7 linked regions of the Canis lupus familiaris genome follow. The protein of the gene in region 1 interacts with the protein of each later gene in a biochemical or structural test. Links are inferred from orthologs where the notes say so. Each region holds a gene or a part of one and is shown in the gene's direction. Other genes may lie near its edges.

What was found.
Region 2: of the proteins of RB1 (region 1) and CDK6, one has a biochemical effect on the other in vitro, tested with the Homo sapiens proteins (9 studies listed by BioGRID and IntAct). The link is inferred for Canis lupus familiaris from reciprocal best matches to the Homo sapiens genes RB1 and CDK6.
Region 3: the proteins of RB1 (region 1) and LIN9 form a complex in vitro, tested with the Homo sapiens proteins (2 studies listed by BioGRID). The link is inferred for Canis lupus familiaris from reciprocal best matches to the Homo sapiens genes RB1 and LIN9.
Region 4: the proteins of RB1 (region 1) and AHR form a complex in vitro, tested with the Homo sapiens proteins (2 studies listed by BioGRID). The link is inferred for Canis lupus familiaris from reciprocal best matches to the Homo sapiens genes RB1 and AHR.
Region 5: of the proteins of RB1 (region 1) and G2/mitotic-specific cyclin-B1-like, one has a biochemical effect on the other in vitro, tested with the Homo sapiens proteins (2 studies listed by BioGRID). The link is inferred for Canis lupus familiaris from reciprocal best matches to the Homo sapiens genes RB1 and CCNB1.
Region 6: the proteins of RB1 (region 1) and histone-binding protein RBBP7 form a complex in vitro, tested with the Homo sapiens proteins (3 studies listed by BioGRID). The link is inferred for Canis lupus familiaris from reciprocal best matches to the Homo sapiens genes RB1 and RBBP7.
Region 7: the proteins of RB1 (region 1) and EID1 form a complex in vitro, tested with the Homo sapiens proteins (5 studies listed by BioGRID). The link is inferred for Canis lupus familiaris from reciprocal best matches to the Homo sapiens genes RB1 and EID1.

Annotation. Positions count from the first base shown.
Region 1 is NC_049243.1:3,170,996-3,176,178, reverse strand, and holds the start of RB1 (retinoblastoma-associated protein), read left to right. Parts: upstream 1-1,952; 5' UTR 1,953-2,051; coding exon 2,052-2,179; intron 2,180-3,007; exon of another isoform or gene 3,008-3,901; intron 3,902-4,350; exon of another isoform or gene 4,351-4,436; intron 4,437-4,621; coding exon 4,622-4,748; intron 4,749-5,183. UniProt on the Homo sapiens protein: Tumor suppressor that is a key regulator of the G1/S transition of the cell cycle. The hypophosphorylated form binds transcription regulators of the E2F family, preventing transcription of E2F-responsive genes.
Region 2 is NC_049235.1:18,262,003-18,266,394, reverse strand, and holds part of CDK6 (cyclin-dependent kinase 6), read left to right. Parts: intron 1-3,566; coding exon 3,567-3,734; intron 3,735-4,392. UniProt on the Homo sapiens protein: Serine/threonine-protein kinase involved in the control of the cell cycle and differentiation; promotes G1/S transition. Phosphorylates pRB/RB1 and NPM1.
Region 3 is NC_049228.1:38,545,994-38,550,385, forward strand, and holds part of LIN9 (protein lin-9 homolog), read left to right. Parts: intron 1-1,203; coding exon 1,204-1,329; intron 1,330-4,392. UniProt on the Homo sapiens protein: Acts as a tumor suppressor. Inhibits DNA synthesis. Its ability to inhibit oncogenic transformation is mediated through its association with RB1. Plays a role in the expression of genes required for the G1/S transition.
Region 4 is NC_049235.1:31,836,812-31,840,349, forward strand, and holds part of AHR (aryl hydrocarbon receptor), read left to right. Parts: coding exon 1-261; intron 262-2,873; coding exon 2,874-3,020; 3' UTR 3,021-3,538. UniProt on the Homo sapiens protein: Ligand-activated transcription factor that enables cells to adapt to changing conditions by sensing compounds from the environment, diet, microbiome and cellular metabolism, and which plays important roles in development, immunity and cancer.
Region 5 is NC_049250.1:29,512,469-29,516,612, reverse strand, and holds G2/mitotic-specific cyclin-B1-like, read left to right. Parts: upstream 1-1,910; 5' UTR 1,911-2,005; coding exon 2,006-3,289; 3' UTR 3,290-3,311; downstream 3,312-4,144. UniProt on the Homo sapiens protein: Essential for the control of the cell cycle at the G2/M (mitosis) transition.
Region 6 is NC_049260.1:13,073,711-13,078,102, reverse strand, and holds part of histone-binding protein RBBP7, read left to right. Parts: intron 1-2,480; coding exon 2,481-2,641; intron 2,642-3,372; coding exon 3,373-3,499; intron 3,500-3,619; coding exon 3,620-3,697; intron 3,698-4,300; coding exon 4,301-4,377; intron 4,378-4,392. UniProt on the Homo sapiens protein: Core histone-binding subunit that may target chromatin remodeling factors, histone acetyltransferases and histone deacetylases to their histone substrates in a manner that is regulated by nucleosomal DNA.
Region 7 is NC_049251.1:15,392,095-15,396,582, forward strand, and holds EID1 (EP300-interacting inhibitor of differentiation 1), read left to right. Parts: upstream 1-1,497; 5' UTR 1,498-1,704; coding exon 1,705-2,280; 3' UTR 2,281-3,391; downstream 3,392-4,488. UniProt on the Homo sapiens protein: Interacts with RB1 and EP300 and acts as a repressor of MYOD1 transactivation. Inhibits EP300 and CBP histone acetyltransferase activity.

The DNA of each region.
Region 1 (5,183 bases):
GATGTAGCTGAAATATTAAATCGCTCTAAGGGCTGCTAAGCACTCGCTCTCGATCCCTGTGCTTACTTCTTTGTGGGTATCCGCCAACTGCGCAGCGTGCGCCCAAGGAGCACACTTTGGGTCATGCTGCTGTCGGGGAGGGGACCTGCACTGAAGACAAGGGAAAGTAGAACCAGGGGAGGAGTTTACAAAGGAACAGGAGGGAGGGGGAGGAAAAGGGGACCCTGGATTTGTGGAAGACTAGCGAAGCTTTACGCAAGAGGAAGTGGTTTAACTGCGTTAACTGCAAGAAAGGCCAAGTAGAGAGAAGATCAGAAAGAAGTCATTGAACTGACAACTAGGACGGGGGCAACTTTTGAAAAGACTGGTTTCACTGTTGGGGAAAGATCAGGAAAGGCTTCTTTTAAGAATCTGCAGAATTTCTTATGTTTCTTTGGTTGTGCAACAGAAAGCCGTGTGGGGGGATTTAAAACTTTGACCCGATTGTTCCTGAATCGTGTGTATAAGGATTTATTTATTTGTTTGTTTGTTTGCTTATTTATTTATTTTCAAATCCTCTGACCCCCCATCCGCTCCCTAACGCTGGGCGGATTCACCCATCTGGGGAAGACCAAAGCACCGATTTCAAAGGGTTGTTCTGAGGCTGGCGATCACTGGTTGAGGCCCAGCACGCGCCGGGCACACAGTGGGCGCTCGTCCCGCGTGGGCCGGGCCGGGCCGGGCGGGCCGGGCGGGCTTGCATTCATTCAGCTGCCGCTTTTTCTCTGAAAATGCCCCTTACAGTTTGCCGGCCCCTCCCGGTTCTGTGCGCGCGCGCGCGGTTTTTAAAACTTCGTTTACGGGGCAGCCCGGGCGGGGGTGGGGGGTGGCTCACCAGCGCGTGACCCCGGGGTCCCGGGTTCGAGTCCCGCGTCGGGTCCCCGCGTGGAGCCTGCTTCTCCCTCTGCCTGGGTCTCTGCGTCTCTCTCTCTCTGTGTCTCTCATGAATAAATAAATAAAATATTAAATACAATCCTGACTTAAAAAAAGATGAAAGTTCATTTACTCCCGAGGGACACCCGGAGAGGGCGATGCTCGGACGCGGGACGGCGGGCGGCGCCTGCGGGGGGCACCGGGGGCCGCGGCGGGCGGGCGCTCAGGTCCTCACCGGCTCTGCCCCCGGCCCCGTCTGCGCGCGCAGGTCCCGGAGGGCGGCCGTGCTTCGCCCCGCGCGTCCCGCCGTCTCCCGGCGTCGCCAGCGTTCGCGGCCCGGGGGGCTCCGCAGACGGTTGTTTTTGTTTTGGCGGATCCGGCGGGGCGGATTGGGCGGGAGCGGGAGCGGGGGCGGGGCGGGGAGGGGCGAGGGGGCGGGGCGGGGAGCGGAGGGCGGTCGGGGACGGGGGGACGGGGAGACGGGGAGAAGGGGAGAGGGGGTCGCAGCGCGGAGGGGGCGGGGACGCGGGGGAGGCTCGGCGGGGGCGAGCCGGAGGTCGCGGGGCGGTGGGAGGGCGCGGACGCGGGTCGCGGGGGGGCGGCGCGGAGGGGGCGGGGAGGGGCGGGGAGGGGAGGGGGCGCGGCGGGGCGGGGCGGAGGCGGCGGGAGGGCGCGGCGCGCGGCGGGGTGTCGCGGGGCGGGGGGGCGCGGCGGGGCGTGCCCCCGGGGTGCGCTCGCTAGATACGGCGCCGCCGCCGCCCGCCGCCGGAGCGGGGCCCAGGGCGGCGGGGGTCGGGCCCGCGCCGGGAGAGGCGAGCGCGTCCCGGGGGCCGCGGGGGTGCAGGCCCCGCCCGCCGCGCGCCCGCCGCCGCCCCGCGCCCCCGGAGCGCCCCGTCCGTCCCGCCGCCGGCGGCCCCGGAGCTCGCGGACGTGACGCCGCGGGCGGAAGTGACGTTTTCGCGCGGCTGGCCCGGCGCTCGGTGGGCGGCGGGAGGAGGGCTCGTGGGCTCCGCCGGGCGCCGCTCCCCGGGTCTGCGCGCAGCGGGGCGGCCCCGAGGTGCGCCCCCCGCCCCGCCCCGCCCCGCCCCGCCGCGCCGCGCCGCGCCGCGCCCCGCCCCGCCGCCGGCCCGCGGACAGCCATGCCGCCCAAAGCCCCCCGGAGGGCCGCCGCCGCCGCCGCCGAAGCCCCGCCGCCGCCGCCGCCGCCGCCGCCGCCCGAGGAGGACCCGGCGCAGGACAGCGGCCCCGACGACCCGCCTCTGCCCGGGTGAGCCCAGAGCGGCGGGGGCGGGCGCGGGCGCGGGCGGGGGCCGGGGCGGGCGCGGTGTCGGCGGGGGCCGGGCGCCGGCTTGACAGGTGTCGGGCGGGGGGGGGTCGGGCGCCCGCGCCCGGTGACAGGTGCCGCCGCCGCGCCCGCGGACACGGAGCCGGCGGCCGACGCGGCGGGGGACGGGCGGCCTCCCGCGGACACGGCGGCGGCGACGCGGCTCCAGGCCTCGGCACCGGGCAAGCCCCGCGACGCGCCCCGCTGGAGCGCCGCTGCCTGCCTCCGCTCCCTCTCCGTGGTCCCCCTGCACAGCCTCGGTATCCGTCTTCGGCGCTTTGCAGCGCTTCTTCCATTTTGCCTTCCAGCCCGGACACATCCTCGCGCCTGCTCTTGTTTTGTTTCGCTTGGGCTGCAGAGTTCGTGAGCTGCCCGTGCTCACAGCACACTTCTCCCCCCCCCCCCCCCCCCCAGCACCAGCACCGCCACCAGCACCAGCACCAGCACCACCAGCACCAGCACCAGCACCACCCGCACCACCACCAGCGCCACCACCAGCACCAGCACCACCAAGTGGTCTCTAAATTTAGGCGACTACTGTGATAATACAGTAGAACGTGACAGGGAGGACTTATTCTGTTGCAGCATCCTATTTTTCACGATCGTGGTACTTTATGGTTAAGAACCTAAGACTGAAAGACTATGATTGCCATTATTTTTGCCAGTCCTGGTTCCACCACTCTGAGAGTACCTGTTTTTTGTTTTGTTTTGTTTTGTTTTGTTTGAGAATGGGATTGCTTTCTTTTCCTCACCGCTTCCTCACCTGTTCTAGTCCATTACTAAGCCCTATTCTTTGAACTTGCTAGACACTAACAGGGTTCAGATAGATTGTGAACGATTGGAATGGGCTTCTGGGATGGCCTGTGAAAAGCTGTTAAAAATACATATGTTGAAATGGGTTGTCTTACAGGTCAGTTAAAAATCACACTCGCTAATTGGGGGGAAAAACAGTCAAGCTGTTCTGAAAGCAAATTTAATTTCTGATTAAGCTCTGTTGTGTCCAGTACTTGAACGTTTTCATTTGGAAAAAGCAGTAAATCTACTCTATAAAGAGTTCCATGTTTACCACGGAGCTTTGGAAGCGTCCTCTGGATTATTGTAGGGTAACCAGAAATATTCAAATTAGGGCCCCCACCTGGGAAAAGAAGGCCTTTCTTCCCCACCCCAACATTGCATTATTTACTTTTAAATGATGGAACTATAAAAAATTTTCCTGTAAGTAAAACCATACAGGATACACTCCACTCTTGATTAACCATACCCCCCGAAAGGTTTTGCTAGTACGGGCAGTTGAACTGTGTAGACTAGCTGCTTAGCAAGGGTGAAACTAGTGCCTGGCAATCCAAAGCCAAGCGTCCTGCTTAGGGATGGATTCAGGGCCCGCTCCACCTGCATTTTCAGTGATGGAATCTGTCTGTACCTTGAAGCTGAGATCTTCTCTCTGTTGCATTATATCTGGCCTAAGTGGGAATGTTGGAAGGGAAACCTTCACTAGGAGCAAGAGTGCACCCTCCTTGTTGACATGATCAAAGTTAATTACGCTCTGAAGGAGGTTTACCAGTCTGGCATAGTGGTCAAGGGCATGGATCATGGAGTTAGACTTGGGTTTCCCACTTACTGGCCATGTCCTCAAGTGAGTCCTTTAACTTCTTATTTGGTACTTGTCTGTAAAACAAGGATAAGAGTACTTATCTAGTAGGCCCATGTGTGGATTCCACTGAAACTATACATTTAAGATACTTTATTCACACAGGCTCAGAGTAAATACTCAAAAATTATTAGCTATTCCTTATATTATTATTAGGTGTCAAATAGACATTAAGAGAATGAAAGGGAGCTAGCCAACAAGAAACTATTGACTACCTATCTTGGGTAAGGAAGATCGAAGAGAAAAGGCTGAAATAAGAATAGCAGGAATTCATGTTAAGTTTCTTATTACGTGAGAAATGCTTATAGGTAGAGAGATTATATGAGACGTTGATAAGCGTAGACTGCATTTTAGCAAAATTGCTGATACTAAATTGATTCTGCAATATCATAAATGGGCTTTCTTCTTTTTGCTCTTATTGTCATCCCGCTTTTCCCATACAGCGTTAGCTATCATACTTACTTACTTTTCCAAAGCTATTTTGCTGTTCTGGTGTGTATGTGATTCAGGCCAACAAACATCTTTCACTGTGTTGTATATTTGTTGGAAGGACTATGAAAAAAATAAACATTTAAATTCTGTAATTTTTTTTCAAAGATAAATAAGATTTTAAAGTACTTAGTAATGCCTTTTTTCAGAATAATGATGTTTGTTATATGCAAACCATTGAAGCAAATGTTTACTTTTAGTTTGATTTCTAAATATATCCCCATTATATGTCTGTTTTTATCTGGTAGGCTTGTGTTTGAAGAAACCGAAGAACCCGATTTTACTGCATTATGTCAGAAATTAAAGATACCAGATCATGTCAGAGAAAGAGCTTGGTTAACTTGGGAGAAAGTTTCATCTGTGGATGGAGTATTGGTAAGGATTTCTTTAACATTTTTTGAAGAAAACTTTCTCATTATTTTTTAAAAAAGATTTTATGTATTTGATAAACAGAAAGAGAGCCTGAACATGGGGAGGGGTAGAGGGAAAGGAAGACAGAGAATCTCAAGGAGATTCTCTGCTGAGCACAGAGCCCCATGTAGGGCTCGATCTGAGGACCCTGAGATATGACCTGAGCCAAAACCAAGAGTCAAATGCTCAACTGACTGAGCCACTCAAGTGCCCCCCAATTTTCTCAATTAAAAAATGATTTTGAATTACTATAGATAACTTGGAAAATAGAAAAATATAAAGAAAAGAAAAGCTAGTAATAATTTTGTTACCCAGAGGTAAATAACTCTGATAGTGTTAAAAATATCCCCACGTAACCCCCCAAAGTATTTTTCCCCCAAAGTACTTTGAAGCAAATCT
Region 2 (4,392 bases), on another chromosome or scaffold:
AGCTATTTAATTCAAAGCTCACATAGTTCAAAACTCTTTTGTAACTGGATATTGTAGGTTTAGGAGAAAACCCTATTTGCTCACACAAAAAAATTTAAAAATAGCCTGATAGGGCACCTGGGTGGCTCAGTTGGTTAAGCGTCTGCCTTCCACACAGGTCATGATCCCAGGGTTCTGAGATCAAATCCCGTGTTGGAATCCCTGTCCTGTATCTCCCTCTACCCCTCACCCCTTCTCATACTCTCTCTCTCTCTCAAGTAAAAATATAAAATCTTTAAAAATAAATAAAAATAGCCTAATAAAATCTAAAGAATGGCAATCCTTATGTAAAATCAGCTTCCTATACCTCGATAAGCACCATTTATGTGGAATCGTTATTGCACTTATATGGTTTGGCACTACTTAAACTGTGCTGGGTGTAATAGTTATAATGGTAACAAGTCATTTTCAAGTACTCTAGCCTTAAATGAAGGGGAACTAGACTTCCAGTACAAGTTTCAAAATAACACAACTAAAATAATGATTATGGCATATCTCAGGGAGGAAAGCCATGCAGCCGTTAAAAATTATGTTGTATTGGGATCCCTGGGTGGCTCACTGGTTGAGTGTCTGCCTTCAGCTCAGGTCGTGATCCTGGGGTCCTGAGATTGAGTCTTGCATCAGGCTCCCCATGGGGAGCCTGCTTCTCCCTCTGCCTATGTCTCTGCCTCTGTGGGTCTCTCATGAATAAATAAAATCTTAAAAACAAATCATGTATTAAAAAAAAGAATCTTGTGGATGTGGCAAAAATATTCATAATGAATTGTTAAATGTTTTTAAAACATTTAACCACATAAACCACAAAATAATGTGTACAGAATAATCATTTTTATTTACAAATACGTGTTTATATTAAGTCTTTGTTTATGCTATACATTATATATATTTACATATAAATATGATGTATTTATACTTACAAATATAGCAACATCTGTAATTTTTTTTGAGACATTTGTAATTTTTGAAAGACCAGAAAGACAAAAAATATTTAATGATAAAGTTTTCTCTATTCTCTGAGCAATAGGATTTTGAGTGATTTCTGTTCTTCCTCTGGATTCTTTTTTAAGATTGATTATTTATTTATTTATTTATTTATTTATTTATTTATTTATTTTAGAGAGTGAGCATGCAAGCAGGGGGAGGAGCAGAGGGAGAGGGACAAGCAGACTCTGTACTGAGTGTAGAGCCCCACAGGGGGCTCAATCTCATGACCCTGGGATTATGACCTGAGCCAAAATCAAGAGTTGGACTGTTAACCAACTGAGCTACCCACATATCCCCTTCCTCTGGATCCTAAAAACATTTTTATAAGTTTCTACATTAAGCATGTACCATTTTAATAATTAAGAAAGATGTCATATGTCCTATATAAATAAATACATAGATAAAAGCAATTAACACTTTTTTTTTTTTTTACTCTTGGTTCAGGTTTTTGGTAAACTTTAGATGAGTTTTATTAATTAGTTCAAATTTTAAAATTTTTATTCTGCTAATTGGCTGCTTAGACTATTATAAACAATGATAAATGAACCAAACATATATTCTCAGTAGTTTTAAATGGTTGGTGTTGAAAGTATAAGAATAAAGATGACAGGCCAGCATGGCATTACTTTAGGTTAATCATGCTGTTTAAAATCCAGGGCTTACAAGCCATGAGCATAACGTTTCCAACAATGACTGGTTTGCCCCAGCAGAGTACTCTTGTTAATACATATGCTTCCGTTTCACACTGGAAGGATGTGCATTGTGAGGTGTGTGACCTGCAGTGGTTCCCGGGTCCTAAAGGACTGACCCTCATCAGTGCAGTTTTCTTCAAGAGGTTTGCCTTTGAAAACTTAGAAGGTAAACTTTCCCAGGACAGAGTATCCATTGAGGTGCATCTCAAAGGGATTCTAGTACACCTGGGTCATTGCATATCACTGCTCAGTGCTTTGTTTCCAATGCTAAGGAGTCAGCAGGTTCCCTGACCTTATGGCACTGGCCACATTTTCTTATGGTTGTTTGTGATTGTCTCCCCTGGGGAAACAGGACACTTGAATGATTGTCATTCATTGAATGCTTACCATTTCCCAAAACTGCACTACCTCCCTTGGTATATATTACTTCATTTAATCTCATAATATTATAAAAAGTAAGCACAATTTTCTCTTCATTTTATGTAAAACTAAGGCTTCGATTTTAAATAAGCCAGCAGAACTCCCAGCTCTAAAGGAAAAACCAGCACTGTAACCAATAACCAAATATGACTCAGCTGATGAACAAGTGTGTCCTCACAGCCTTTGCCAGCTTTGAAGCCCATGATGCTGCCCTACCACTTTTCTAATCCTTATATGAACAAAATAATCCCATCCTCCCTTGTGCACAGCATTTGCACAGTATTTTGGAGGGTAGGTCAATTTTATTAACCTTAGAATTCAAAGGATCCAATGGTCAGAATCTTAAATTCCTACTTTCAGACACTGTTTCTGAGTTTTAAATCTTCTCTCTAATTTTACTGGTTCCAAAGTTATAAAAAGATGTGACATTATTTTTTGAATGCCACCTCCCGCCCCGCTCCATGCTGGTTAATAATGATAGCAATGAGCTACCATTTATTGAGGACTCACTACTGTGCTAAGTGCTTTCTTAACAGTGATGCCATGAAATCGGTTTTGTTGCTTAGGAATTGAGGTTTCACAAGGTTAAATGGCTTACCTGGCCTTATATACTCATTCCATCATTGATCTAATAAAGGAATGCACTGGGAATTTGAACCCACTTTTTCTGTTGAATCAACACTACTTGGCTAGTGATGTTACTTTGGGCTAATTATATATACCCGTGAATCAGTTTCTTGACCATAAGATGCGATAATGCTATTATTTACCTTAGTGTTGGGTATTGAGAAAAGTACTTGACACGTAGTGACTACTTAGTTGCTATAAAAGTAATAGGAATTACCATTAATAGCATTATCATATACTAGGTTTTAACTGTTGAAATAATATATTAAACCATATGAAAGTATATAAAGTAAAAAGTGTCTCCCTCTTACCACCTACTTCTTCTCCCCAGCCTTTACTACAGATACCAGTTTGGTATTTACCTCCCAGAATATTTCTTATGCCATCCAAAACTATTTTTTTTTAATATTTTATTTATTTGAGAGAGAGAAAGCATGAGCAGAGAGGAGTGGCAGAGGGAGAGGGAGAAGCAGATTCCTCACTGAGCAGGGAACCCAACACGGGGCTTAATCCCAGGACCCTAGGATCGTGACCCGAGCCGAAGGCGGATGCTTAACCGACAGCCATGCAGGCACCCCAGGCATCTGAAACTATTTTTAAATTTTCCTTTTGTGAATAAGATACAGGTCAATGTGAAATTTTTTGCTTGTGACCTTGCAAATGGAAGACTAGAGAGGTTAAGAAGGAAAACAAATTCATTTATTCAGGAAATACTTGTCAAATGCTTTCCAAGGCTAAGGATTCCTCTACATGTTGAATTTCTGTTTTGATAGTTTATTGATTTTCTTTTTTGGTTTTATTTAGGATATGATGTTTCAGCTTCTCCGAGGCCTGGACTTTCTTCATTCTCACCGAGTAGTGCATCGCGATTTAAAACCACAGAACATTTTAGTGACCAGCAGTGGACAAATAAAACTGGCTGACTTCGGCCTTGCCCGCATCTACAGTTTTCAGATGGCTCTTACTTCAGTGGTGAGTGAGAAAGTGCTATTCTTTCATTAAAGTTATGTTTCCTCTTTTAAATAATGAACTGCCCTTATGCCATGCCCCTGAGATTATTACTGCCTGTGGTCAGTTGGGGGAGAGAATGTCTTTACACTTTTTAAAAAAAAAAAAGGTTTTATTTATTTATTCATGAGAGACACAGAAAGAGAGAGAGAGAGAGAGGCAGAGACATAGGCAGAAGGAGAAGCAGGCTCCATGCAGGGAGCCCGACGTGGGACTCGATCCGGTTACTCCAGGATCATGCCCTGGACCAAAGGCTCAACTGCTAAGCCACCCAGGCTTCCTGTCTTTGCGCTTTTTAAACAGGAGGGCTAGGTTTTGCTTGTAACTATAGATACATACAGACTGGGCTTGTCACAGATAGGACCTATTGCAGAAAATAGTCTGTTACATTGTCACCACTAAAAAAGAATCAGTTACAAGTTTCCAGTTGCTTTTTTGCCATAACCACTATTTTCAGAGCTGCATACACAAAGTCTGGGGAAACATAGCTCAAGGGTTTAGGAAAGAAGAGCGCCAGAAATGTTGTCCTGTCTGTAGCATCCTAGTTTGAGAAATAACGAGGTACCTACACAGGTATGTGAAAGCACTCTTCTGAATCTGTGGTGCTGACTATGAAGAAGAA
Region 3 (4,392 bases), on another chromosome or scaffold:
TTTTTTTTTAGATTTTATTTATTTACTCATAGACACAGAGAGAGAGAGGCAGAGACACAGGCAGAGGGAGAAGCAGGCTCCATGCAGGGAGCCTGATGTGGGACTCGATCCCGGGTCTCCAAGATCACGCCCCAGGCTGCAGGCGGTGCCAAACCGCTGCGCCACCAGGGCTGCCCTAATTGATTTGATTTTATAAGATTTTATTTATTTGGGGATCCCTGGGTGGCACAACGGTTTAGCGCCTGCCTTTGGCCCAGGGCGCGATCCTGGAGACCCGGGATCGAGTCCCACATCGGGCTCCCGGTGCATGGAGCCTGCTTCTCCTTCTGCCTGTGTCTCTGCCTCAATCTCTCTCTCTGTGACTATCATAAATAAAAATTAAATTAAAAAAAAAAAGATTTTATTTATTTATTCATGAGAGACACAGAGAGAGAGAGAGGCAGAGACATAGGCAGAGGGAGAAACAGGCTCCATGCAAGGAGCCCGATGTGGGATTCGATCCCGGGACTCAGGGATCACGCCCTGGGCCGAAGGCAGGCACTAAACTGCTGAGCCACCCAGGTATCCCCCTAATTTCTTTTTAAAAGACCTTATTGAAGTCTAATCTCTGTATCCAACGTGAGGCTCAGATTTACAGTCCCAAAATCAAGAGTCACATGCTCTACGTACTGACCCAGCCATGCCCCCCTGAAATTGTTTTATTTTCGTCCACTGATTTTTCCATAGTTTATGAGGCTTTCAGGGTATCTTGGTGTGATCTGAGTTCTAGAATTCCCAAGAACTGATATAACCCTCTAGAGTCCCTATTTTTCTAAAATTTACTTAATCTCAAAGAGGACTCCTTGCTGTTGGTATTACCTTTGGGACAAAGATACTTTGTAGCTAACATTGTTCATCCTCACTGGATGTAATGACAGTGCCAAGATATACTAGGATACTCATATGTGAGATTTAGCAAAAATCAGAGTCTCCTGGAATCTCCAGCACAGACATTTCTTGAGTAAATTGTATACATTAATTGTTTCACAAATGCCACTTTTAGTTTTAACAGTTTGAAATTGTGCCAATTTTGTATATGTCCTGGGTAGAAGTGAAAGATGCATTTGAGGATTAGTATAATGTTGAAAATTGTAAAGCATATTTTGAATTTATGCCTCTGAAATAATTGTGATTAACCACTAAATTACCATTTCTGTCTTACAGACCACTCTTTGAAGGTGATAATGACTTCTGTGTATGTCTGAAGGAATCTTTTCCTAATTTAAAAACAAGAAAGTTAACAAGAGTAGAATGGGGAAAAATCAGGCGACTTATGGGAAAACCACGGAGGTAAAAATATTTTTATTTAAAATAAACCAGTAAGTTAGTTGGTAGTATAATTACCACATTGATTACTTTTCATCTTTGCAAAGACTAGTCCTGAAACATAACTTTTCAGAATCATTATATTTTAAATATATCCTGATAACTAGCTTTTTTTTTTTTTAATTTTTATTTATTTATGATAGTCACAGAGAGAGAGAGAGAGAGAGAGAGGCAGAGACACAGGCAGAGGGAGAAGCAGGCTCCATGCACTGGGAGCCCGATGTGGGATTCGATCCTGGGTCTCCAGGATCGCGCCCTAGGCCAAAGGCAGGCGCCAAACCGCTGCGCCACCCAGGGATCCCATAACTAGCTTTAATATAGGTGCTTTTTATATCGATGCATCTTAAAATTAAATACAGTTTCATTTTTCAAATTATAGGATTCGAACATAATTTTCTTACATTCTCTATGCCCCACTATGTTCCAAAAAATATTTAAGAATACACTAGAAAATATATTTGATCCTTTAACAATATGGAGGTTAGGGATGCCGACCCTGCACAGTCAAATCTTCATATAACTTTTGACTCCCCCCAAAACCTAACTACTAGTAGTTTACTATTGACTGGAAATCTTACTGATAATATAAACAGTCAATAACACATATATATTACTGTGTTCTTACAATAAAATAAGCTGGAGAAAAGAAAATGGTATTAAGAAAATCATAAGAACGGAAGATACATTTATAGTACCATACTATATTAAAAAATAAAATCCATGCATAAGTGGACCTGAGTGGTCACATCCTTGTTTTTTAGGAGTACACTATATTTAATGAAGCTCTCGGGGTATACTAATACATTGTTATCTTTTTAGAAACCATCTATCACCGCAAAAGCCTTCTTACATATTTTACTTTATATAAAAACAAGATAAAGGGGTAGGGTGAGATGGGTGAAGGGGATCAAAAGATAGAACCTTGCAGTTATGAGTCATGGAATGTAATGTATAGTGTGATGACTATAGTTAATAGTATTGTAAAGCTTTTTTTAAAAAAAGATTTTATTTATTTATTAGACTGTGAGAGAGCATGAGTGAAGGGTGGGGAGAGGGAGAGGGAGAAGCAGGCTCCCCACTGAACAGGGAGTCTGATGTGGGGCTCGATCCCAGGACCCCGAGATCATGACCTGAGCCAAAGGCAGATGCTTAACTGAGCCACCCAAGTGGCTGTAAAGCATATTTTAAAGTTGCTGACGGTAGATCTTAAAAGTTCTTATCACAAGAAAAAAAAATTGTAACTATATATGGTGACAGATGTTAACTAGACTTAGTGTGGTGATCATTTCACAATATATACAAATATTGAATCATTCTCTTGTACACCTGAAGGTTACATAGTGTCTTATATATCTATTATACCTCAGTAAAACAAAAACGCATTCTATCTAAAAACAAAAACAGAAAAACCCCAGAAAGAAAAATCAAGTGAATCTCTCCAATATGTTATTTTCTGAAAATTACTTTTCATGTGAAATGACTTTTCCCTTTGTAGTGTTATCTTGCTTTCTAACATAGCCACCCAGACATCCCTGGCTTCTTTGGTTTCTTAAAAGGGTTAAACATACACTGACCATACGACCCCGCCATTCCACTCTTAGGTATTTAGTTAAGAGAAATGAAAGCCTATATTTATACAAAAACCTATACACAGGGACACCTGGGTGGCTCAGCAGCTAAGTGTCTGTCTGTCTTCGGCTCAGGCATGATCCTGGAGTCCCAGAATCGAGTCCCACATCAGGTTCCCTGCATGGAGTCTGCTTTTCCCTCTGCCTATGTGTCTGCCTCTCTCTCTCTCTCTCTCTCTCTCTCTCCCTCTCTCTCTGTCTCTAGTGAACAAATAAATAAAATCTTAAAAAAAAACCAAACCTATACACATAAATGTTCATATCAACTTTGTTGTAATAGCGCCAAACTGAAAATAATACAAATGTCCACCAGTAGGTGAATGGGTAAACGGTGGCCATTCATAGAAATGGATACTGTTCTCCAATAAAAAGAATGAACCATTGGTACATGTAACAACACAGATTAATCTTGGAATAATTCTGCTGAGTGAAAGAAGCCTGACAAAAGAGTTCATTCTACATGATTTCATTTGTATAAGATTTTATTTTTATTTATTTATTTATTTTGTATAAGATTTTAAAAGGTAGAAACTATAATGACTGAGAGCACTTCAGCAATTGCTTGAGAAGTAGGGGTACAGAAATGGGAGGGATGCGAAGGAGGGATAATAAAATGCCACAAGGAAACTTTGTGGAGTGATTGATGTCTTCAAATGTTCATTATCTTGTCTGTGATGATTGTTTTATGGATATATATTTTGTGACACGAAAGCTATATTTAAGTTACTTTGATTCATCCCAGTATTTGAAAATAGAAGTAAAACAGTCCCTAAAGATAAGAGTAAATTCGGTATTTATGCTTCAAGGCAGGAAGTATGATTAAACATTTACACAGTGGTAAGCCTCATCTTTAGTTCTATATTGGTGTGCTCATGGGGTCACAGGGAAAATATCATGTTCTTCTGAATAGAATATTGTAATTGAACATTGTCCCAGAGGGAGTCCTATGATCCAGATGCAGTGTTGTCAGAGGATGGTGGACAAATCCTCCTGCTTTGTAGGAAAGGATGATGTAGACTTGCTTATAAATCTTTAAGTCTTGCAAAGTCCTGTTTTTAAAAAGATATAATTTACTTTAAAGATAATTATTATTTCTAAGAACTCATTTTTAAATACAATTACTTGAAAGAAAGAGAGGAAAAGAAGTAACAGTGAGATGGATGGTTTGATTTCAAGTTTTGGGGTTTTTTTTGTTTTTTTTTTTTTTTTTAAGATTTATTCACTTTAGAGAGATAGAGAGTGAGTGAGCACAGAGTGGGTAAAGGGAGTGGGAGAGAAAAACTTTTGCAGACTCTCCCTGAGCTCGGAGCCCAACCTGGGGCTCAGTCTCATGACTCTGGGATCATGACCTGAGCTGAACCCAGGAGTCAGATCTCAGCCGACTGTGCCACCCATGGAC
Region 4 (3,538 bases), on another chromosome or scaffold:
GGGACACAGTTAGACTTTCCCATAGGAAATTTTGAACCATCCCCCTACCATACTACTAATTTGGAAGACTTTGTCACATGTTTACAAGTCCCTGAAAACCAAACACATGGACTAAATCCAGAGTCAACCATAGTAACTCCTCAGTCCTGTTATGCCGGGGCTGTGTCCATGTACCAGTGCCAGCCGGAACCTCAGCACAGCCATGTGGCTCAGATGCCATACAATCCAACCATGCCAGGTCCACAGGCATTTTTAAACAAGGTAAGGGTTTTATCAGACTGAAGAAACCCTTTCAGTGATCCTTCTTACATTATAAATACACATGAGTTGTAAACATTTTATGTCTGTGACTACTTTTATGTTAGTCAGTACTTTTCTGGTATTAGTATGTTAATATGAATAGGTCTTTTTTGCTTGAATTGTAGAGGAAAAAGAAGTCAAGGGCTAAGGCAACCTAATATGTCCTTTAGTTACCAAGTGAAATTATTACAAAATATATTGTTTAGAATAGATTCTTGAGTTTATCTCTCTTCTTTATATGATCCTTTAAAAATTCAGAAATCTATTTGCATTTTTTAAAAGATTTTATTTATTTATTTGACAGAGAGATAGAGCACAAACAAAAGGAGAAGCAGGTTCCCTGCTGAACAGGGAGCCTGACATGGGGCTCAATCCCAGGATGCTGGAATTGTGACCTGAGCTGAAGGCTGACACTTAACTGACTGAACCATTTACGTGCCCCTGTATTTGCAAAGTGTTTTCTTTAGGTCCACCTGGGTGGTTCAGTTGGTTAAGTGCCCAGCTCTTGACTTCTGCTCAGATCATGATCTCAGGGCCATAGATAGAGCCCAGCATGGAGTCTGCATAAGATTCTTTCTCTCCCTCTCCCTCCCCCTCTTAAAAAATTTAAAGCTCAGTCTTTTTTATATGACTTAAAGCCAATATAGCTGTGCTTTCTTCAAATGCCTTTGTCCTGGGTGACCCCTGAATTCAGCCACAGTACCTTCAAGTTATCTGCCAGATGCTCATTTTATCTTTAAAAGTGGAATATTTTCTTCTGGAATTTTAAAAAATTTTCTCTCATGTTGTCAAGCTTGACACTGTATTTTCATTTTATTTTTAAAAATTTTACTTATTTTTTAAGAGTCATATACTTTACTGTAAGCACCCCTGCATTTTGATTTTTTTTTAATGTGTCATCAGGATTCTTCTAACAGCCACCACAGTTTAAATCTAAAAGTAATCGTTGAAAAAAAAACATTAATGATGGTAGCTGCTTTCTCTTTCTATCTCTCTGGCCTCCTGGGAATATATTTTGTTTGCATTCATGCTTTTCCATTAAAAAATATTTAGTGCACTTTAAAGAATAATTCAGTAGGCTTTTGAAGAAAATCCTGATCAAAATTAAGTTCATTGATCTCTATTTACTGTGTATTAAAGTGTTGGAATAGCAGAAGAGATTCAAGTTCATGACATTTTTCACACATTTGGTTTGCCTATAGATGAGGTTTTTAGTAGAAAACGGCAGTGGAAGTTTTTCCTCTGATATATATCCAGCGTCCCTCCCGACATCCTTCAGTTATCTCAAAATTTAGTTTTCAGTTCGAGTCTATCTCACAACATCGCCATAACGTGGCAGAGGTAGGCAACCTGAGTAAACTGCTGACACGTCCCTCATTTACAGGGTTTACAATTGTATTACTCAAGTTGTTCAGTTTTGTTTTTTACTCCCCAGTTTAGGTTTTTTTATTACTTTATGAGTAAGAAGATAATAGGAAGTGAGTAGCCCTATGGATTCCCCCAGGAAATTATTTAAAATTAAAATTACCTATGTGGCTCACATTGTATTTCTATTAGACAGCACTGCTTTTGACAATATATTTAAAGAGAATTGCTGACATGCATCATGCTTTGACTAATGAGTCATTTATTCAAAGACTACCATTCTCTGATAATACCAACATCTGTTTGAAGACTCCATGTAGATGCCATTCATTAAAGACCTAGATTATGTGACTTTTTACTATATATTTAATGTTTTGGAGGATCTTTTAAGTCTAATGTTAACATGTGACATAGGATTTACTTGAAGCAATTAGAGTTATGAGTTCAAGCTATTTGAAAGTTGCCACAACTTTCACTAACTATATACTAAAATACAAAAGTTCCATATAAATCCCTACAGAATTGTGTATCTGCCTCTTTTTTTTCAGTAGCAGTTATAGACTAATTTTATTGTAAAGAAGATGAGAGCACTTTATTTGGTAACTTAATCTGTAATTGGGACCATTTTTAATAGTACTTCTCAAAAGCATATAACAGATAAAAAATTGGTTTAGGAAATCCTATCTATGCTATATTTTAGGAATATTAAGACATCTCTATCAGAACTGACCTTTTATGGAAAAGTCCTAGGTCTGCAGTCCAATGTATTAATTTTGAATGCAGTCAATCCATTGGTACCCAGAACTTGACTAAAATGGAATCTGGTCAAAGCAAACCTATTTATGACAGATATATTATGTAACTGTGAATCATAGCTGATACTCTCTGATCTGTCAGTTTCTATCCAAACCAAAGACAACTTGTTCATCAGATACTCTTCTAATGTATGGAATGCCAAATCTGAGCTCAGACTGATATATCACACATTTGTACCATCTAATGGAGAAACCAGGAAGTTATAAATGCAACACATAGTATGTGCTCAGTAGGTCTTTGCTGAATGATTGAAATTTTAGCAACAGTAAAGAACTGAAGTTTAACAATATGCAAGGCAAATGTTTTAAAAATGCAGTTTAATATATCATTTAGTGGCTTAAGATACTTGAAAGATCTAGTCTGATTAATCGCATTGCTATTTTTGTTTGCAGTTTCAGAATGGAGGAGTTTTAAATGAAACCTATCCCGCTGAATTAAGTAATATAAATAACACTCAGACTCCCACACATCTTCAGCCCCTTCATCACCCACCAGAAGCCAGACCTTTCCCTGATTTGACATCCAGTGGATTCCTGTAATTCCAAGCCCCTTTTGCACCTTGGTTTTTGGATGAGTTTGCAGAAGATTACAGAATAATAATACTGTCAGTGTTGGTCATCAGCAAGTTTACATGGAGGCATTGATGTGTGTTGTTTGTGCTATTTTTCCAAACCAAACTTCAGTGTTTTTAAGAGTTAAGAAAATTACCAGAAATACATATAGTCATTAAACTATAAATTGTGCTGCCACAGGGAGTGAGGTTCCATCTCTATTTCACATGATTCTGAGTACCAGAGAATATACAAAACTTATTTAGGGGAACTGTAGGACACTTTTAAATAAAAATTTGTCAGAAAAAAATACTTTTGAATTTTCAGCTTCTAGATTATTATTAATATACCAAATACAAAATTAAACTCCTTTTGTTTAGCTTTGGCTTTTATCTCAGATATTAAAGTAAGTGATTTGGTGCTTTTATAAAAGATAATCTCAGTGCTTTCCTCCTTCATTGTTAATATAAGTGCCTCACAATTTTTTATACCTATAACACTGTAGG
Region 5 (4,144 bases), on another chromosome or scaffold:
ATAAGCTAATTCCCCTCCTTTGTCCTTCCGCCTAAATACCAGATTTTCACATAACTAGTTCTCTGTCAATGTTTAGGTCTCACATCAAATACCATCCTCTCAAAGGTCTTATCTGACCATGCTAGGTAGGTCTTATGTCATGCTCAATTATAGCACTATGTATTTCATTCACAGCAATGTCACAATTTGTAATTATAATTTAGTTTTTCTGGTTTACTTGCTTAGTAATTTTTTGTTTACTGGTTTATTACATATCTTTCTAAATTAGACAATAAAGTCCATAAAAGTCAGAGATGATACTCATGTTGCTTACCACTCTCCACCCAATGCCTACATCCAGCACCTGATATGTGCATAATAAATATATGTTGGATGAAAAAAAGCTACTAAATAGTTAACCAAGAATATCATTATATAAACAGAAACATACACTTTGCTCCATTTCTAGTGCCACTACCATTACACAAATGAACACCATTTAATTGGTTGAAACAATTTTTAAATGGTCTCCCAGCTTCTCTTGCTTCACTACTTTCTTCCCTTGTGAATCTGCTCTCTACATAGTAAGAAAAGTGATTTACAAAAAGTAAACTTAAAGAAGACAAAGTTACTTAAGAATTTTGCTTCCGAGAAAAAAAAAGTTGATCTATTTTTCCTTATTTTTCCCCTTATGTACAATTTAAAACCCTGGACACTATGTATACAACAAACATCTGAAGACTCTAAAATGTGGAGAGAGGGCATATCAGTAGAAACACAGAGACTCAAGGAATGAAAGGGTGGTGAGTTTCCTAGGCTTTCTTTTTGCCTCAAATATTCCAGATTTGAAACTGAATAACTGGTAACCCAAAAAGACCAATACACACAAACAAAGCTCAAACAAAAGTCATACACCCATGGAAATTTGAGAGGAGAAAATATACTTGGAAATGAGAAGGGCAGCAGAAGCCAAAGAGAAGGATTTCGGTATTGAGTGTGTGTATTTCCTTTCTCTCCTCTTCATTCCAGCTCACTGCATTCCTCCTCCTATAGTATACATTTAGATTCCAGATCTCCCTGCTGCATCTGCATGCCAATACTTACACCATCACCACCTCGCTTGACTCCACCACTACCAGATAGGCCCCAATGTCAGAGGAAATACAGAGGCCAGGAATGAAGAAAAGGAGAAGTGGCAGGAAAATGCAAGGGCAGACAGTAAGATACTGAATTAACCTCTTAGCTTTCAAGAAGTTTTCAAAGTACCAATGAAGAAGGGAAAAGAGAGGGGTACCTAGGTGGCTCAGTGGTTGAGCATCTGCCTTGGGCTCAGGGCATGATCCCAGGGTCCTGGGATGGAGTCCCACATCAGATTCCCCACATTGAGCCTGCTTCTCCCTCTGCCTATGTCTCTGCTTCTCTCTCTGTGTCTCTCATGAGAAAATAAATAAAATCTTTAATTTAAAAAAAAAAAAAAGAAGGGAAAAAAGAGAGGAGAGACCTACAATGGTGTGGCTCTTCATACCCAAGTATACACTGAGTATTTATTAGGAGTTGCAAATTTACTACCACATTCAATTAAATGGAGAAGGTTTTATGAAAGACGTGAAAGAAGAAAGAAAGAAAGAAAGAAAGAAAGAAAGAAAGAAAGAAAGAAAGAAAGAAAGACAGACATGAAAATGTGGGAATTAACTGAAAGAAGAATTTGGTGAATTGCCAAGTTAAAGGAAATTTAGGAAACACTGCAAAGATGTCAATATATCAATTAAACCAAAAAGAAAACTGAGTATTCTCAATTATTAATACATGATTACAACCAATATTATACAAATATATTTAAATATACAATGAAATATAAGCTATATTATAATTACACATCAAGAAAAAACTAATTAGAGGTGCTGCGGAGGAACGGCTGTTGACCCGCGGGCCTCGGCTCCCGGCTCCCGGCTCCCGGCTCCCGGCTCCCGGCTCCCGGCTCGTCAGCGGCTCCCGCGCTCTCCTCTCCCCCCGTGAAGACGCGGCCATGGCGCTCCGGGTCACCAGGAACACAAAAGTGAATGTTGAAAACAAGGCGAAGATCGGTATGGCAGGGGCAAAGCAGGTGCCTCTGGCCTCTGCTGCAGCCTCCAAGCCCGGCCTGAGGCCAAGAACTGCTCTGGGAGACATTGGTAACAAAGTCAGTGAACAACCACAGGCCAAACTGCCTCTGAAAAAGGAAGCAAAAACTGCAGTTCCTGGAAAAGTCATTGCTAAAAAAATACCAAAGCCTCTGGAGAAGGCACCTGAGCCTGTCCCTGTCCCTGTGCCAGAACCAGAGCTGGAACCTGAGCCGGTTAAAGAAGAAAAACTTTCACCCGAGCCTATTTTGGTTGATACTCCCTCTCCAAGCCCGATGGAAACATCTGGATGTGCTCCTGCAGAAGAATATCTGTGTCAGGCTTTCTCTGATGTAATTCTTGCAGTGAATGATGTAGATGCAGAAGATGGAGCTGATCCAAACCTTTGTAGTGAATACGTGAAAGATATTTATGCTTATCTGAGACAACTTGAGGAAGAACAAGCAGTCAAACCAAAATACCTACTGGGTCGTGAAGTCACTGGAAACATGAGAGCCATCCTAATTGACTGGCTAGTACAGGTTCAAAAAAAATTCAGGTTACTGCAGGAGACCATGTACATGACTGTTTCCATTATTGATCGGTTCATGCAGAATAACTGTGTGCCCAAGAAGATGCTGCAGCTGGTTGGTGTCACTGCCATGTTTATTGCAAGCAAATATGAGGAAATGTACCCTCCAGAAATTGGTGACTTTGCCTTTGTGACTGACAATACTTACACTAAACACCAAATCAGACAGATGGAAATGAAGATTCTAAGATCCTTAAATTTTGGTCTGGGCTGCCCTCTACCCCTGCATTTCCTTCGGAGAGTGTCTAAGATTGGAGAGGTTGATGTTGAGCAACATACTTTGGCCAAATACCTGATGGAGCTATCTATGTTGGACTGCGATATGGTACACTTTCCTCCTTCTCAGATTGCAGCAGGAGCTTTTTGCTTAGCGCTGAAAATTCTCGATAATGGTGAATGGACACCAACTCTACAGCATTTTCTGTCCTACACTGAAGAATCCCTTCTAAATGTTATGCAACACCTGGCTAAGAATATAGTCATGGTGAATCGTGGGCTTACAAAGCACATGACTATCAAGAACAAGTATGCCGCCTCTAAGCATGCTAAGATCAGCACTCTGGCACAGCTAAATTCTGCACTAGTTCAAGATTTAGCCAAGGCTGTGGCAAAGGTGTAACTTGAAACATGCATTGGAGTATTGTAATATCTGCAAATAAAATTGGCACCATGTGCCATCTGTATATATTATATGTTACCTTTACTTACTTTTAATAAAGCTTGTGGTCCTTTTTAACTTCTTAAAAAAAAAAGAAAAAACTAATTAGATATATTTTCTAAGTTTTCATTTTTTTAATTTAAAAAAATTTTTTTTAATTAATTAATTTGTTGTTTAAGTAATCTCCATATCCAACATAGGACCTGAACTTACGGCTCCAAGATCACAAGTCGGATGTTCTATCAACTAAGCCAGCCTGGAACCCCTAAGTTTTCATTTTTAAGGTACAAATTAGTGTAACCGAAACTGCGTGTACTAGGAGACAACTAAAACCTTGAAATGAACATTTAAAATATACAGTCATTAGTGTATGCAATATCTTTTGCATATTTTAATCTAAGCTTTTCAAATTCTCAATACCTTTTGATAATATTGGCTAATGTTAAAGTCAAACTATATATCTCAGAAACCATATTCTAGAATTTGCGTACAATATCAGTACCTTTTATTTTGCTACACAATTTAATGCCACTTACAACTTTTCTTTAAAAAAATAATGGTGAAGTGCTAAATTTTGCCACAAGGTGGCTCTTCCCAGGTTTTAAATGAACTGCATCATGTACTCAACTCTACAAAAATCAACATAGAGAACATAATATCTCTTACATTTCTTTTAAAGTGAATATTTGACATAGAGCCAGTATGGGGAAAAGAAGGAAAAAAATCTAAGCATGATACAATGCATATACAACTAAACATTCATTCCATGATGATGTATGTGAGTTTATGTCTGTGTCTGTGTGTGAAAGAGAAAGA
Region 6 (4,392 bases), on another chromosome or scaffold:
TTGTAGCATTCTTGCCACCTACAGCTCCATACCTTCCTTCATGGATCCCATACTGTAAGCAAAATATGGTGGGTATGACTCCAGCCCAGAGCTGAGAGTAGACTTCTGGAGCTTTTGAAAGCTCTTGTAACTTGGCCACAGGTTCTCTTAACCTTCTTCCGTAGTATATCCTCCTGTCTAGAACAGGCCTATTGCATCACAGACCTTCTTTTATTTCTACTGGTTACAATTTCTGTTAAGCTTTTTTAAATATTGAAAGTAGGTAATTGGTTCAGTCAAGATTCTTTAGCTGCAAGCAACCAAAACCAACTCCGGCTGATGCAAACAGAAAAGGAATTTATCAGAAGGGTGTTGGGTAGGGTAGCTCACAGAATTGCTTTGCTGGCTAGAAAATGGCCCAGAACAGAGAGGAGAAGCGGGTGGGTGTTACTCTCCACTTTGTACCCCCCCACACACTTGGCAAACATGAGAACAGATTTCCCTCTTAATGTTCACAATTTAAAGTCCTGGTCAGGGGCACCTGGGTGGCTCAGTTGGTTAAGCAACTGCCTTCAGCTTAGGTCATGATCCCGGGGTCCTAGGATCAAGCCCTGCATCAGGCTCTCTGCTTCTCTCTCTCTCTGTCTGCCTGCTATTCTCCTTGCTGTATGCAGTATATCTCTCTCAATCTCTCAATCTCTGTCAAATTAATTAATTTAAAAAAATCCTGGTCAGACTGATGTAGCCACTATCATGTCCTAGCCACGAGGGAGGCTGAGAAGTGAGGGTCTCCCTTAGTTCTCCAAAAGGAAGCTTTCCTCCACTTCCCTCAAAGTGGGTGTGGTAGAGTCTCTGAAACGGAATGGATTATGCTCAGTAACTTTATTACTAGTGCCTTTTGAAGACACCACGCTGGGATTTGCTAGTTATAATAGCTGACGTTTTCTAAGGGCTCTGCATGTGCCAGGCTTCTTGCTCATCTTCCCAGGATCCTTCTGAAATGAGCAGGAAAGGATGTCAAGAGCTCTATATATGTTCCTTTTTCTTCAGTGCTTGTAAATTGTCTGAGTGTATATCAACAAAGACTAAGGGTGTATTCTGTAAAACTATTTTTTTTGTTACTGAGTACATAGCTATTACTGGGAAATAGCTTTGTCACAGAAAGTCTTTCAGATAAGAAAGTGATTTTCAAAGAGATGAAACCCATACCAGTCAGTGGAATTGTTGGGGCAAATATGTCTTAGTGGAATTACCTTTTAAACCGTTTGGATGATAATCATTGTCCCATAGCTTGTAATATTTTTTCATAAAAACTTTCCTGTTAACTTTGTAATGGTTTTCATTTGAAGAATCAGATCCCAGAGCCTGCTGATCTGTGATCTTTGAGGCCTGGGAAAGGCCCATGGCCTTTCCTTGGATTTTGCTGAAGTATTGAGGTCTGTGCTGTGGGGATCTGTCAGCAGGCCTTAAGCTTTGGCCTCTCAAAGTAGCCTAGTTGGGGTTTCTGGATTTTTCACATGTTCGACTTCCTAATGTTCCACTACAAATAGTGGTTTCTGCTGTGAGGCGAGAGAATTATCCAAAGATTTTTCTTTTTTTAAGATCTTATGTAATTTATTCATGAGAGACAGAGAGTGACAGAGACATAGGCAGAGGAAGAAGCAGCATCCCTGTGCGGAACCTGATGCCAGATTCCATCCGGGACCACAACCCTAGCCAAAGGCAGATTCTCAACCACTGAGCCGCCCCCGCCTTTAAAGATTTTATTCATCCATTTTACAGAGCCTTCATGAGCACAAGCAGCGGGAGGGGAGGGAGAGGGAGAAGCAGACACCTTAATTTCCAGTCTCCCAACCCTGTGTGAATTTTTAGGACAGGAGTATCTGTTCAGTAAATACTGAATATTGGACTCTTAGTGTTGCATTGTGTAATCGAGATGAATTTTAAAAGATTTTATTTATGTATTCATGAGAGTCAGAGAAAGAGAGGCAGAGACACAGGCAGAAGGAGAAGCAGGCTCCATGCTGGGAGCCTGATATGGGACTCGATCCCAGGACTCCAGGATCACGCCCTGGGCCAAAGGCAGGTGCAAAACCGCTGAGCCACCCAGGGATCCCCTCTAGATGAATTTTAGATACTTGATTGAAAGTATGTCAGTAGAAACTCTACCTCATTGTCTATTGCCTGCCATCGTGCCTGGTTTCTCTGTCCCCGTTATCATATACTTTCCTTTTCCTTGCCCTCTGCATCTCAGGTGATGAAAGCTATAAGCATACTCTTGTGTTTCTGAAGCTTCACTTTGTTTATATTTCTTCTCCCTTGTGTTTATTTCTGCCTTTATATATATAGTTAGATAATTTTTAAGTTTAAGTGATCTCTACACCCAGCATGGGGCTCGAACTCACACCTCGAGATCAAGATTCACTCTTCAGACTGAGCCAGCCAGGCACCCCTAGTTATATAATTTTTTAATGAAGATTGTTTGTTTTTTCCTTCTTTAGACTGTCTGTCTGTGGGATATAAATGCAGGACCAAAGGAAGGCAAGATTGTGGATGCTAAAGCCATCTTTACTGGCCACTCGGCTGTTGTAGAGGATGTGGCCTGGCATCTGCTGCACGAGTCATTGTTTGGATCTGTTGCTGATGATCAGAAGCTTATGATGTAAGGTGGAAGGTTCAGTGGGGTCTTGATATATGGGTGTCCTGAATGATCAACAGTGATTGTGGTGGCCTATGGTTTGATTTTTTTTTTAAGTTATATACTGGCCTTAAAAGCTTTAGCTTGACATACAAGAAACAACAAGTGTAACAGCTTTTTTTTTTTTTTTTTTTTTTTTGCATAGAAGATACTGTGCTCTATGAATGAACATATTTTTTTACTTGAAAAAAATCTACAAATGTAAAGAAACATTCTTAGTGGTATGTGTCAAAATTAGGGTCACAGTGACTTTGAAGATGAGGGCTAAAAATGTTTGCATCAGGGCATGGCTACAGGCTGCATTCAGCCACCTAAAATGTGTTTTATTTCATAAAGAAACTAGTATCTGAGGCAAATGTGGCTAAATAGTAAAATATGGTAAGGTTGGGTTGTAGGTATCAAATTGTTACATTATTCTCCAGTAGTTGTGTCTGCTTGAAATATTTGGTAATAAGACAGGAATCTGAAACTGGAAATGATAGCCCTAATTTATTTTCTGTGGGTTTAGAATATGTCACTTAGTGGCTGGAAGTCCAGATTGGCAGCTTTGTATGTGATTAGGGTGTCCATGAAGGGGTGAGCATGGCAGAGTAAGGGTGGTGTGGAGTGGTGCAGACCTGGAAACGGGCATGAGAAACTGAGGAGGGTTGGGTGGCTTCTGCTTGTGCTGTGTGCCTTGTGTCTTTGTGTTCTAGATGGGACACCAGGTCCAACACCACCTCCAAGCCAAGCCACCTGGTGGATGCACACACTGCCGAGGTCAACTGCCTGTCCTTCAACCCTTACAGCGAGTTCATTCTCGCAACTGGCTCTGCGGATAAGGTTTTTTAAGTTTTTGTATATTTGATGTTTATGAATCCAGTTGTCTTGTGCTATAATCAGATATTCTAAAATTCTTCGTACAGTGCAGAAATGAATTCCTTTTCATTTATTTTTCTTCAGACTGTAGCTTTATGGGATCTGCGTAATTTAAAACTAAAACTGCATACCTTTGAATCTCATAAAGATGAAATTTTCCAGGTATGTGACAGTTTTCTCATGTCTGTCAGGCTTTTAGTAACTCTTTGATGGTGGGAAATTTAAAATCTTACTGGCTTTATAGCAGGCATGATATTTGTTTTAAATTCCTCTTCTGTATATATATGTTAACTAGTGGGAAGTAACTTGGAGCTATTTGAGATTATTACATTAGAAGTAGAAAAATCTTGCAAAACAGGATCATTTTAAAAAGTGAAATTCAAGGATTCTTTAGTTAAGGTGTCCAGTGTGGTGCATTCTCTAGTGAATAAAAATACCTTGTATGTGGTTTCAAATGGAGATTTGCTTAGGTTTAAGATACACCTCATTGAAAAAGTGAAAAGCTTCTGGATTAGTTATGGGCTTATTAATAAGCGTATGGAGGTTCCTAGCTGAGCTCCCCTGTATGGGGGGGTGTGATCTTCCCGGAGGGTGGGCTGGGGAGATGGGCCATTTAAGAGCACTTGAAAGGACAGGACAAGGAGGGTGAGGGCTGTATCCAAGAAGAGGATACAGAAGAGGAGATGGGAAAATCTCAAGGATTAGAATGATACCCACAAACGTAGGAACAAATGATGCTTCATACTTTCAAATCTGTATTGCTAGGTCCACTGGTCTCCACATAATGAAACCATTCTGGCCTCAAGTGGTACTGACCGCCGCCTGAATGTGTGGGATTTAAGGTAACTCAGAATCTG
Region 7 (4,488 bases), on another chromosome or scaffold:
AACATTAGAAGACAAATACAAGATTACGCTGTGATCTGTGAGGTAGGAAAACCCATCTTGATAGAAAGGAAAAGACATACAGAAAAAATTAAAAACCTTCTATTTGATTACAGGAAAACTCATTTTAAAACTTTTGTCACCAGAAAAGACCCCTGAAACAGGACAAATAACAGGCAGGGAGAATATATTTGCAACACTTAAAACAAAGTATTCATTTAGTTTGTAAGAAATTCCTACAAGTCAATAAGAAAAAGAAATAAACCAAAAATAAGAGCAGTTGATTTTCATAAGTCACACAAATGTTCAATAAGCACACTGAAAAATACCCAATTTCCAAGAAATCAAGGCTGTGGAAAATAAAACAAGATACCATTAAATTGATAAAATTGCTCAACAAAACTATGTGCGGCAAGGATACAGATATTCTCAAACACTGCCGAGGACAGGTTACATTTGTACAGCAATCTTGGGAAGCAGTTTGACAGCATGAATTAAAAACTAAAGTATGCACACCCTACAATTATGCCTTCCCACTTCTAGGTTATTTATTCTAGAGAAACACTGGCGTATATGGATGTCATTTACCCATAGTTTATAATATTGAAAAATCGGAAATTTTGCGCGCAAAGTTAGGTCAACAACAGCATAGCTATACAAATAAAATGCTAAAAAATAAAAAATAAATAAAATGAAATGCTGTACACACACACACACACCACCACCACCACCACTCATCTATGTACCCCAACAAAGCTAAACCTTCAAGACACTGCAGAGGGGCTTTTTGTTTTGTAATCTGAAGACAGTTACGTAAGACATGCAAAAACAAAAAACAACCCACACACAGAACAAGATTTTTGCACGAGGTTGTAAAGGAAAAGGACAAATGCAATGGAAAAGGATTTAAAGAATACACACTGAAACTGACCACAGTTAACCTCCTGTGGAAATAGAGTCAAGTACTTCTTCAGCATGTAGCGAAGATAGATAATATGTTTGTGAATTTATTATTATTTTTTTTTAATGGGGGAAACAGAAGTAGAGCTGAATGGATCAGTTCATAGTATGTTGGTCTGTGGTTGAGAACACTGATTTGGCGGTGTGGATGCGGGAGCCCTGCGCATGGACGACAGGTGCAGATGCGAGGGTCTAGGGGAGGGAAGGGGAGGAGGGATGGGGAGGAGGGAGGGAGGGAGGGAGAGAGGGGGAGAGGGAAAGAGAGAGGGAGGGGGGAGGGAGCGAGGGGAGCGCAAGGGGAAGGGAGAGGGGGAAGGAGGGAGAGAGGGGGAGGAAGAGGGAGCGAGGGGGAGGGATAGAGGGGGAGGAGGAAGAGGGGGAGGAGGGAGGGGGAGATGGGGAGAGGGGGAGGGAGCAGGGGGGAGGCTGAAACGTCGTAACAGAGGCCACGTAAAGTATCTCCAAGTTTACAGCACCGTAAGGAGCGGGACGGTTAAGCAAAGCGGAGATAAGGCGACTCTCTTAAACGCAGGGCCTCGCTAAGCAGCAGGAACGGACGGCGAACGGGAGCCCCTCCCGCCGCAGGAGTCGGCCCCCCCGCCCGACGGGCACCCGGGAGGCGGCGTCCGGGGGTCGCGCAGACGCACGGGGTCACGCAGGCGCGCGGCGTCGGCGCACGCGCAGAACCGCCCGGCCGCGTAGCTCCGTCTGCAGGGACGCCTGGCTAGAGGGTGCGCCGCGAGTACGATGTCGGAGATGAACGAGCTGTCCGAGCTGTATGAAGAGAGCAATGACCTGCAGATGGATGTGATGCCCGGCGAGGGTGACCTTCCGCAGATGGAGGTAGGCGGCGGGAGCCGGGAGCCCTCCCCGAACCCCTCCCGCCACGGGGCCCAGCCGCAGCTGGAGGAGGAAGGCCCGATGGAGGAGGAGGCGGCCCAGCCAATGGCGGAGCCGCAGGGGGAACGAGGCCTTGCTCACCGGCCCAGCCCGGGGGAGCAGCCGGGCCAGCTCGCCGGCCCTGACTTCGAGAGCGAGGACGAGGGTGAGGAGTTTGATGACTGGGAGGACGACTACGATTATCCGGAAGAGGAGCAACTGAGTGGTGCCGGCTACAGGGTATCCGCGGCCCTGGAGGAAGCCAACAAGATGTTCCTGAGAACATCCAGAGCCAGAGAAGCAGCCCTGGATGGCGGGTTTCAAATGCATTACGAGAAGACCCCGTTTGATCAGTTGGCTTTCATCGAAGAGCTTTTTTCACTTATGGTTGTCAATCGCCTGACCGAAGAACTCGGCTGTGATGAGATTATTGACAGAGAGTGATTACACGCTGTTAAAAGAGGAGGAAGCTACTTGAGGAGAGACCCGACATTCCACGGTCTTTTGGGCTCATTCCAGATAGATAGTAACGGTGCCAAGGGAAAAAAGTCGATCTTCAAAGAAAATTTTTGTTGTTGTCGTGCAGAGTAGAATAGGGCAGTGACTGCGCTCTTATGAAAGCATTGTTGGAGAAGAAGAAGAAACGTATCAGGACTGTGGAAATCTGTTTTCAAGAATGTTCCTGAAACACCTGCCGCTTAGACTTTGTTACTGATCCCGGTTATTTTCCTTGCATTTGGGGAAAATACCTCTCCTATATTTCACTATAAGGAATGGTTTTGCAAGAATAAGTTATGACCAAGACAAACCGCCAGTACAAGACCCCCACTGATACCAATTACGTGAGAAAAAGTAGTAACATCCAATTTAGGACACAAGATGTCTGAATCGTTTGGACTGAAAGCCTACTGAGAGAACTCTGGAGGTTCCACTTTGTGGTCTGTCCAAGCCAGTGTTCAAAGGCTAAATTTTTAGTGTAAAAAAAAAAAAAAAAAAAAAAAAATTGGGTATTCTTCACTATCCCAAAAAGATAAACCCAAGAAGAAATATGTATCATGTGTGATCTATCTCAAAATGTGTTTTCAAGAGCATCTGAAATTTTGTTTGTACGTGTATCTTGATCATTTATAAAGCTACTATGATCCATAATTCAAGAAAATTTGTCTTGCCATTTTTAAAACTCAAAAATTAAGACGTCCGTAATTTCAAAGTTAGACATTAAAATGTATGTGAAAGAACAGACTATTTCTGATACTCTTACATACTAGAGAAGTTGTTTTACTTGCTCTCTTTGTTTTTCATTTAACTTACAGGTGAAGGACTTTGGTTGAACTTCATAATATAAGAACTGTTAAAGTGAAAATGTCAAGTAAAAGGAAAGCCCTACATCCAAAAAGAAAGACTGAACAATTATGCCCTCAACCCTTAAAAGGTTTTAAAACCTGCCCAGAAATCCACCTCAGTATCTGAAGTTTCCCTCTGTCTCCTCCTCTAATTACGCTTGTCATTGGTTATGCACCAGCATTCGAGATAATAAAATTTCTTGTTCTGTGTATTTTGTTTGTTTGGCCAAGAATATTGTTCCCATACTTTATCTAAACACTATTATTTTATTGTATTGTGCTATTTTATTTTATCATTGAAACCACTTTATGATTCACATTTAACCACTACATGGGAAAGTGCTCCAGCTTCAAGTAACTGATTTATAAATTAACTTGTGGATATTAAACTTGGCAAATTCCTATGAAAGAATTTGCCAGCCTGAGAAAACCTGTCCTATTAAGGTGAGCATGTTGCTGTGGTTATTAAGGTTCTGAAGTTGTATAAGAATAGTAGTAATTCTGTCAGAAAGCTGTGCCCAGTAAAACAGTATATTAGTAGGTCTGATGATCAATAAAAGTACTGGATGTTCCTGCCCCTTATGGCACTAAAGGACACATCCAGTACAATACCACAGCTCAGCCTCAGTTACAGTCATCTTGCCTCTTATGGGTGGGGGGCGGGGGTCCTTTTACATAAAGTAGAGGACTGGCGAGGGTGACCATAGTTACTGAAACACTAGCTTGGTGAGGAGGAGAATAGATAGATGGGACAATAATAAGCAAGATGTTAGCACTTAACCATCCTAACCCTGCCTCTCCAATGCCTTAATTTCACTGCATTTTCAAACAGCTTGTAGCTGCAGCTAGATGAGTCTGATTATTGCTTGTATGATGTGAATTAACTGAATTTGGGAGTGGGGCAAAGGATGCCAACACACACATAACTAACCAGTAGCATGTACTTCCAAATAGAGGTGTCAGGAAAAAAACTGATCTTCCAACCAGGAATTGTGATTAGGTTCATCTCTGGGACTGAGTAGGGAGCAAGAGGAGAGGAAAAGAAAACTATTCCCTGTTGGGTTTGAAGGCTCATTTTGAGGAGGAGGAGGAGGAGTGGACCCCTCTGATGGTAGGTCTTAGAAAAATAGGCAGTAATCTGAGAGACCACTGAAATTAATACTTGTTTGTATTTACTAAAGATAGAAAATAATAACATTTTAACACCCCTTTTAGAAGCATAAAATCGCTTGTATTTCTTTTAAAGGTTAAAGCTAACACTGGAATGAGGTGACCTAGTTCAAATCTGGGTTAATGGGAACTAAAGAAC